Daphnia pulex: one gene and its partner. The protein of the gene in region 2 binds, or shares a complex with, the protein of the main gene of each other region. Links are inferred from orthologs where the notes say so. Each region holds a gene or a part of one and is shown on either strand. Other genes may lie near its edges. The genes, in order: mucin-5AC-like and polycomb protein Asx-like.

The links.
Region 1: polycomb protein Asx-like (region 2) and mucin-5AC-like share a complex: the UniProt entries of both Drosophila melanogaster proteins name them as parts of the polycomb repressive deubiquitinase (PR-DUB) complex. The link is inferred for Daphnia pulex from reciprocal best matches to the Drosophila melanogaster genes Asx and sba.

What each region holds. Positions count from the first base shown.
Region 1 is NC_060024.1:8,819,443-8,823,194, forward strand, and holds part of mucin-5AC-like, read left to right. Parts: intron 1-1,789; coding exon 1,790-1,913; intron 1,914-3,105; coding exon 3,106-3,752. UniProt on the Drosophila melanogaster protein: Non-catalytic component of the polycomb repressive deubiquitinase (PR-DUB) complex, a complex that specifically mediates deubiquitination of histone H2A monoubiquitinated at 'Lys-119' (H2AK118ub1). Important for maintaining stability of the PR-DUB complex.
Region 2 is NC_060017.1:5,840,138-5,844,056, forward strand, and holds the start of polycomb protein Asx-like, read left to right. Parts: upstream 1-1,764; 5' UTR 1,765-1,943; intron 1,944-2,024; 5' UTR 2,025-2,048; coding exon 2,049-3,919. Other genes in the region: zinc transporter 2-like, read left to right, coding at 1-210, 285-358, 433-538, 602-658, 723-800, 856-1,001. UniProt on the Drosophila melanogaster protein: Non-catalytic component of the polycomb repressive deubiquitinase (PR-DUB) complex, a complex that specifically mediates deubiquitination of histone H2A monoubiquitinated at 'Lys-119' (H2AK118ub1).

The DNA of each region.
Region 1 (3,752 bases), on a different chromosome or scaffold from region 2:
GAAGAAGGAGCTAAAAATACAAGAGAAGAATACAGGAGAGAGAGGGAACTAGGAGGAGGATGCGACGGCGGTTTGATCGATCAATTGACCTCGACTTGATCATCAATAGAAAGAAAAAAAAAGAAGTCCTGGATTACGTTAGTGGGTTCGAGTCTGTCTAACCGCCCAGCTTTATTTTTCCTGTTTGGCCTTTTTTCGCTCTTATTCCTCTTTCTCTCTCTCCCCCCTTGTTGTACACACGTATGTCTCTCCGGCGTTTGTTAGTCGGGAAATAAGGAACACCCCGTGGGGAGTCTCTCTATTTTTCCTTATAACATACATACGCGCTGCACACCTGGTTGACGTCAGACTAGTACCTAAAAAAAATTAAATGAAAAAAAGAGACTGTTGGGTCTATAAGGGGAATACGTTGTGGGGCCGGCAGCCTTTTTTTTATAATTTCCAGTGCAAAGGGGGGCTGCTGCTGCTGTTGCAACTACTATTCCAGGTGTGGTTTAAACAACGAGGAACCCTGAAAAGGGCCCCAAGAAATTTTTCAAACTGAAAAAAAAAATTAGGGGGTCGAAATTGTGAGGGGGGAAATAATGATGGTACCTAGAGAAAAAACATTAAAAATGTATATAAAAATGTAGAGTAAAGAGAAGAATTCATTCGAGAACGATTACGAACTACCGGCGGCGGCTACCAACCCCAAACAACAACCCCCTCCGCATTTCCCATATCCCCTGGTTTTCTTTTAACCCCTGGACTACTACCACATCTACCTCTGGGAGGAAATTATTTTTAAATGTTTTGCCGCTTTAGTAGTCAGCTCCCTATTTTTTTGGGTGTCTGTTGTTGTATTTTTGATTCTCCCCCCTCTTAATCTATTTCGAGACCCGTTTTCCTCGGGGGTTGTAAAATGAAGAAAAAACGACTTTTTTTTTTCTCTTTCTTATTCTGGTTAACTGGTTTCACACGCCAGGATATTTTTCTTTCCTTTTTATTTTTTCCAGTTACGCCGAGCAAATGCGGAATTCCGTTGTGAACGTGTGTGACAGAGAGAAAGAGAGAAAAGGGGGGCAATTGTTGTTGCATCTAGGAAATTATGTATTCCGGATCTTGTCGTATAGCCGTCGAGGTTATAGACGACGAATGTCGTTTTTGTCTCCGGAAACAAGAACCGGATTGCGGTGGATGGATGGAAAGGTTCTTCTAACCCCTGGGTGTGTGTGTAGGGTGGGATGAGATGATTTCCCCCCTCTTTTTCAAGAATTCTGGGCTTGCATCCAGACATCTCAATTCAAAATGTTTTGTGTGTGTGTGTGTCTGTCTTGGATGTTTTTTGGTCTTCTTCTTCTTCGTCATCCCTTTCTCTCGCTTTCTCCCTTTCGCCCATCCTTCTCTCTCTCTCTCTCTTCCGGCTGGGCAACGAATCAATATCTCCTGCTGTGTGCTCTTGTGTCTGCGCGCGGCCGTCGTCGTCGTCGTAAAGCGTCGCTCAGGGAATGCTCAAGACTTGTCTTCCGGATTTATCGATCCGCACCAGAGTTTCTTCTTCTTCTCCTTTTTCTTATCACCCCACCCACTCGCCCACCCGATCCTCCTCCTCCCTCTAGACTCTTTAATCAACCGAATCAATCAAGACGTGATTACGACCTAAATGAATGGAATATTAGTGGCCGTTAATTTACGTTCAAATCTGTTTTTCTTTTTTTTTTCTTTTAGCCTTAATCGCATTCGTGATTTTAATTTCGTTTCGATGAAAATTCAATTATTATTTTTCTTTTTCCTTTGTTGCGTCGAATAGTCCGAGTGGCTGCCGATTGTCGTCGCTGGAGGACGCGGCCAACTACGTCCAGCGCGACGGAACCTGCAAGTGCGGACTGCCTTGTCCGCTCCGACTTCAGCACGTCTTTAATTTCGATCCGTCGGTGAGTTGTTCCTTCTAAAAAACAAAAAAAAACAAATGCCGCCATCTTTATCCTATTTATAAAAATCTCGAATGATCTCCGCGTTATTAAACTTTCTTTCTGTTGGCTATATCGGGTTTATGTATAATACTATAAGTTATAACAATCTTTTTCTGTGTTTCTTTCTTGGAACTGGTCTTTTGTATAATAACGCCGCCGTCTTCGGTTTCATCCTTTGCTCTCCCCACTCACCCCGAAATGAAGAATTTACCTAGATTTTTTCTTTTTTTTTCAAGTTTTGTTATCAAATTAAACCAGAAATTGTGTTGATTTATTTCTTAATTTTTTTTCCTGAATGTGTAGAGTAGAATTTCCCATTTTTTTTTCATTTGGAATTTTTCAAAATTTTTTACGTAGTTAATACAACAAAGAATTTCATCCTCTCCATAAAAAAATAAAATTATTTTTTCTTTTTTTTTTTTTTATTTGGTTGTAATCATCTTTTACGCACTCAAAGTATATTACTATCATTTATCGGTTTTTCGTGACTCTGAAGATTCTTTTTTATGATTGTCTTTTTTCCTTTTCTCCTTCCATCCCTGGGGCCCCCAACTACAACAACAACCGACCGTAACTGAATAACACCCGAATGCGCGGGAGATCTCTGATGGCGTCTCACGACGACATTTCGTGATTTCTTTAACAACAACAACAACAAAAATTGCGCAAAAAAATATAAATTCGAGATGGCGGCGTGCGCGCGCGCGCGTCCTTATTCCTTTGTTTCTTTCTTTCCTTTTCCATCCGGTTGGTGATGGTGTCGTGGCGGTCGGGAAAAAAAAAGACAAAATTGGTAAAGGCGAACGAAAAATTTGTTGGGTGGGTTGGGGGGGGGGTTTACGTGTGTGTGTCGTTTCGTTTTGGCCGCGGACGAAAAAGGAAATGGGAGAAAAGTTGATGAAATTACCGCAGCGATTTGATATCGACGCAGAGTGTCGTCTGCACGACACGGCGCGTGCGTGAATGTCTAGTTTCTTTCTTTTTTTCTTTTTTTTATTATTTTTTCACGACCGATAAAGAGGAGAAGAATGAAAAGAAAAGAACGTCCGGCATTTTATTGATCGCTTTTTTTTGGATTTTTTTCTTTTTCTTTTTTTCCCTCCTCCTTTCCTGTGTGTGTTCGTGTTTGCCCTGGTTGTGTGTTTGTCTTCAGGTGGCGTGCAAAGCCGAGACGTCACTGGACGCCCAGTCATCGACCTGCTGCCACAAACAGTCGCGAGATGTCAGCACGGACAAGGCGGCCCAGGCGACCACAGCGGCGGCAGCGGCGACGGTGACGACGGACAAGGCGGCGAAATCATCGGCCGTCAAACGAAAAAAGAGCGGAAATGCAATGAATAACAAGTCGGGCAAGACCACCAAGACTCTTCCGGTTATCCAGCCACAACAACAACAACAGCCACCCGCTCAGCAGTCTCAACAACAACAACAACCTTTGCTCTTTCGACGTTCTCCGTGTCCCAATGTGGACGTCAGGCAAATTCCGTTGGAGCAGAATCGGCCGCCGGCCGGCAGCCTCTTGCCGCAGGCTCGTTCCACTCAGCCGTCAACAACAACTGGGAACGGACCGACGTTTTTCGATGATCCCAACGCCTATTTGGCCCAGCAAACGGTCCTGTTGCAAAGTAGTTTGCAGAATGGCGGAAACAATTCGGTCCCTACGCCGCCACCTCCGTCGGAACCGCTTCCGGCCGCACCTGCACCACCGCCAGCTTCAACGACGACGACGACAGAAACGGCCGAAGCGGAGCAGACGCAAGAAGAATTGCTGGGCGATTTACTCGACTGCATCCCCGACTC
Region 2 (3,919 bases):
CAAAAATCATGTTGATAACTTCGGGTCTAGGAGTGGTCATAAACTTAGTAATGGGTTGCACGCTCCATCAACATGGACACAGCCATGGGGGAAGCAACCACCAGCACAGCCACTCAGCTCCAATCCATGACGCTGAAAACCAACCTCTACTCTCTCATAGCCATGTGGGACACACTCACGATGATGTTGAGAATATCAACGTTCGAGCGGGTAAGCAATACCTATTTTTGCGATTGACAGAAACTTTGGTTATTAACATATTGTATTTTACTTTGTTCTTACAGCCTTTATTCACGTTGTTGGAGATTTCGTTCAAAGTCTCGGCGTTTTCATTGCCGCAATAATAATTTTTTTCCAGGTTGGTTTTTGCCTTTTTGTCAACTGTCGAATATCATCGCTAATTCTGACTCATTTTTTTTTTTTATTTCATAGCCGGATTGGGCATTTATTGATCCTATCTGCACTTTTCTATTTTCGATCTTAGTTCTTTTCACTACGATCGCAATTTTAAAAGATGCGTTGACTGTTTTGATGGAGGGTAATAGTTGTAATTCTTTTTCAATTGATTTCATTTCATCTATTCAACTCTCATATTTTACAGGCTTGCCTCGGGGACTGGATTTTAATAGAGTACAGCACACGTTTTTGTCTATCGATGGTATTTCTACCAAATTTTGTAAGATTAAATGTGTGGTCTAATTTTTTTTTCTTCTGTTCATAAGGCGTGATTCGTGTACACAACCTTCGTATATGGGCTCTTACAATGGATAAAGTCGCCTTGTCCGCACATTTGGCCATTCGTAAGCAATAGTAACTTAACACTTGTTTTTCAACTAACTTTTAGTTTTTTTTTAGGGCGTGGGTCGAAGACTCAAGAAGTGTTAATACAAGCTTCGCAACTGGTGCGTTCTAAATTTAATGTGTTTGAAATGACGTTACAAATAGAGAAATTTGAGGCTGGAATGGAAGATTGTGTGCAGTGCCAAGATCCTGTAGATTGATTCTTTTATAGAAACTGTGTATTTGCAATCTCAAGTCCAAACTCCCTTCTGAGAATTGCATTTTCTTATATTTGCTCATATATTGGCCTCGAACATATTAAAGCCTTACAAACGATATGTTTGCTTTGTTCGCTATGTAATTGGTTTGCTGCATGAAGTTGAATAAAATAATTGTACTCTTTTATTTCGCTCGTCATAGTTGGGGCACAGACAACGAAGTATCCATGCGGTCATTCTCAATACTTGCCAAGTTAACACGCATAACATTAATACCCTTCTTTAATTCCTGTCGAGTAAAGATGAATAAACATTCTTAAATATGCTTTATCGTTAAATATACCTTAATTTCTGCTTGTTGTTTTGCAAGTCGTATTTTAGTTAAGACTAGATCTTTCCCCTGAGCAGCAGGAGGATAGGAGGAGTCACATTATTTTCCTCTAGAAAAAAAAACGTAAAGGGTTTAAGCAACCGTTTTTCACAACGGAAAGCCAGAAGCCTTCTACGTTAAGGTTGCTTAAACCGAAAATACGTTATACGAATTACGAATACGGAATACCGTTGTGAAAAACGGTTGCTTTTATTAAACCCTTTTACGTTATTACAGTAAAAGTTAAAACGCTTAAAGAGGCTGCAGTATGAATGAAGCCTTATGTCTAATAATGCTTTAAAGTATAATAATTACTTTAGTAAAATTTATAGGATTTTTTCAAAATAGAAAGTTGTCCGTTGTTTACAGTCTTTACCGCCATCTAGGAGCGCAATACAACATTGCGACAAACGAGACAAACACACAAAAATGGCCGACAGTTGAATTTTTTTTTTCATCAATGATCAATGAAAATTTTTGTTCAAATCTCAGTAAAAACTGTTAAACTACACTCGAGTTAGAGTGAAGGAGGTGCATAAAATATTTTTCGTAGTAACAACGTGAAACTTTTTCATGTAAGTTGAGTGTGAAAATTTTAAGTGACAAATTCATACATGTTCAATTGTTTTGTTTTTTTTTGTTGTTGTTATCACTAGATTTTCTAGTTGGCAAACGAAGAAATGTCTGAAAGCTTTGGAATTGACGTTAGTGTGGCTGATTCGATAAGCCCTGAGCCACGAATGCTGAAGAGACCAACATTGCAGTTAGCCTTGAAGCAGCAGGCTAAACGAAGAAGGAGGAACACAAGCATAGCTACACAAGGAAATGTGAATGGAATGCCACCTATCCCAAGAGTGATTGTTAAAGTGTTGCCTCCATTGCCTTTAAATGAACGGAACAAAGTGCATGAAGGTACTGAATCAGAAACTGAAGAAGTTCAACCCATAACTCCGAGAAATGCTTCAGTAAGTGTACCAACTCAGACAACCATGAGAGAAGTGCTGGCATCCATTCCTGGTTTTAAAACAACAAAAAGAACTACAAGAAATTTATCTGCTGCAGCTCAAATACAAAGAGCTCAAGAGGGTTGTGTTGATCTTCAAAATCCATCTTCAATTCTGGCCAAGGCAAATCTTCGTGGAATCCTTAACAAGCATACATTTGGGAGCTTACCCCCACTGTATCAACACAAACTTGTGCAATTGTTACCAGAGGTCGACAGATGTCCTGATGGCAGTTCAAAACTGAGTAGCACTGCCCTTAGCAACGAATTTTTTGGCCGTGCTTGTCAAAAGTGGAGAGATCGTCTTGCCGCGGGTGAATTTACCCCAGAATCCCAGCAGAAAATCAGAGCTGAAGCCGAGCGGGACAAGGGAAAGTTGGATCCATGGAAAGTAAAACATTTCGAACCGTTTTGGGGGACCAAAGGCGAATCCTCTTCTCAGGAGCTTTCTACCAGACTTCCTTCAAGTAGTAGAGCTTGTACAAGTGCAGCACCATCCAAAAAGAAATCGACCCCCTCAGACGTAGTTGATGAAGATGAAACTCCACCCAAGAAGCGCATGGGTGGTCGGAAAATAGGAAGAAGACGAATGAAACGAAAAAAACCAATCAGAAAAATTGTCATATCTACTCTATTGAATAGTGAAGACAAAACCCAAATTACTTCAGAAGAAGCTACGTTAGTTTCCGAAGAAATCTGCTCCAAAGATGTTATGTCGGTCGAATCCTGTGAGATAGCTGAGATGCAGCCTATCGAAATCATTGAGATAATCGAACCTGTTCACCCCTCTACCGACACAGATGAACCTGAAAGCGTTTCTGGGATTGAATTTGACTCTTCAAATGTTGAAAAGGAAGAAGTGTTCGCCTCAAACCCAACAGAAGAGAGCGACTGCGAAGAGCAGTCATCAGTCCAAGCGACACCATCAAATGACTCAATTATAGAGATTTCAAATCGTCTGGAGGAACCATCGTTAACTGCTCCTCAACCAGTAGAGATCAATATTGGTCAAGACAAATTTGATGGTGAAGAGTGGGATGGTACAAAAACCCTATCAGCGGAATCGAATAACCAAGTCGGGGAAAATGCTAATTTTGAAGTCCAGGAGATGTCCGCTGAAGTTCGTGCATCTGAGGAAGAAGACGTTTTGTGTCTCAGTAATCCTCCCACTATTAAGGACTCACTACCGTCCTCGGACACGGATGAAGAAAAGGAGTCCAAGGAACAAGATGTCGATGAACGACAAATGGAAATTGACGATAGCCAAGCATTAAATGAAATGAAAGATTTTCTTAGTAGCAGTGTAGGGCACTTTGTTCAGGAAGATTCGTCACCAGAAGATTTTTTCCAGAGTCATCAAGTGACGGAAGCTCTAGAGTTGTTGAGAGATATTCACGACAGGGAAGAGTCTGTACCTGTGATAGCTGAACAGCAAAAGATCTCGTCGCCAGAAAATGTAACAACTCATAAGCAAGATGAATTAGATTCAGCTGTAGCTGGACGTTCGTCGCAAGAACAGCAACAGATGATTGAGCCTTCCGCAACGGA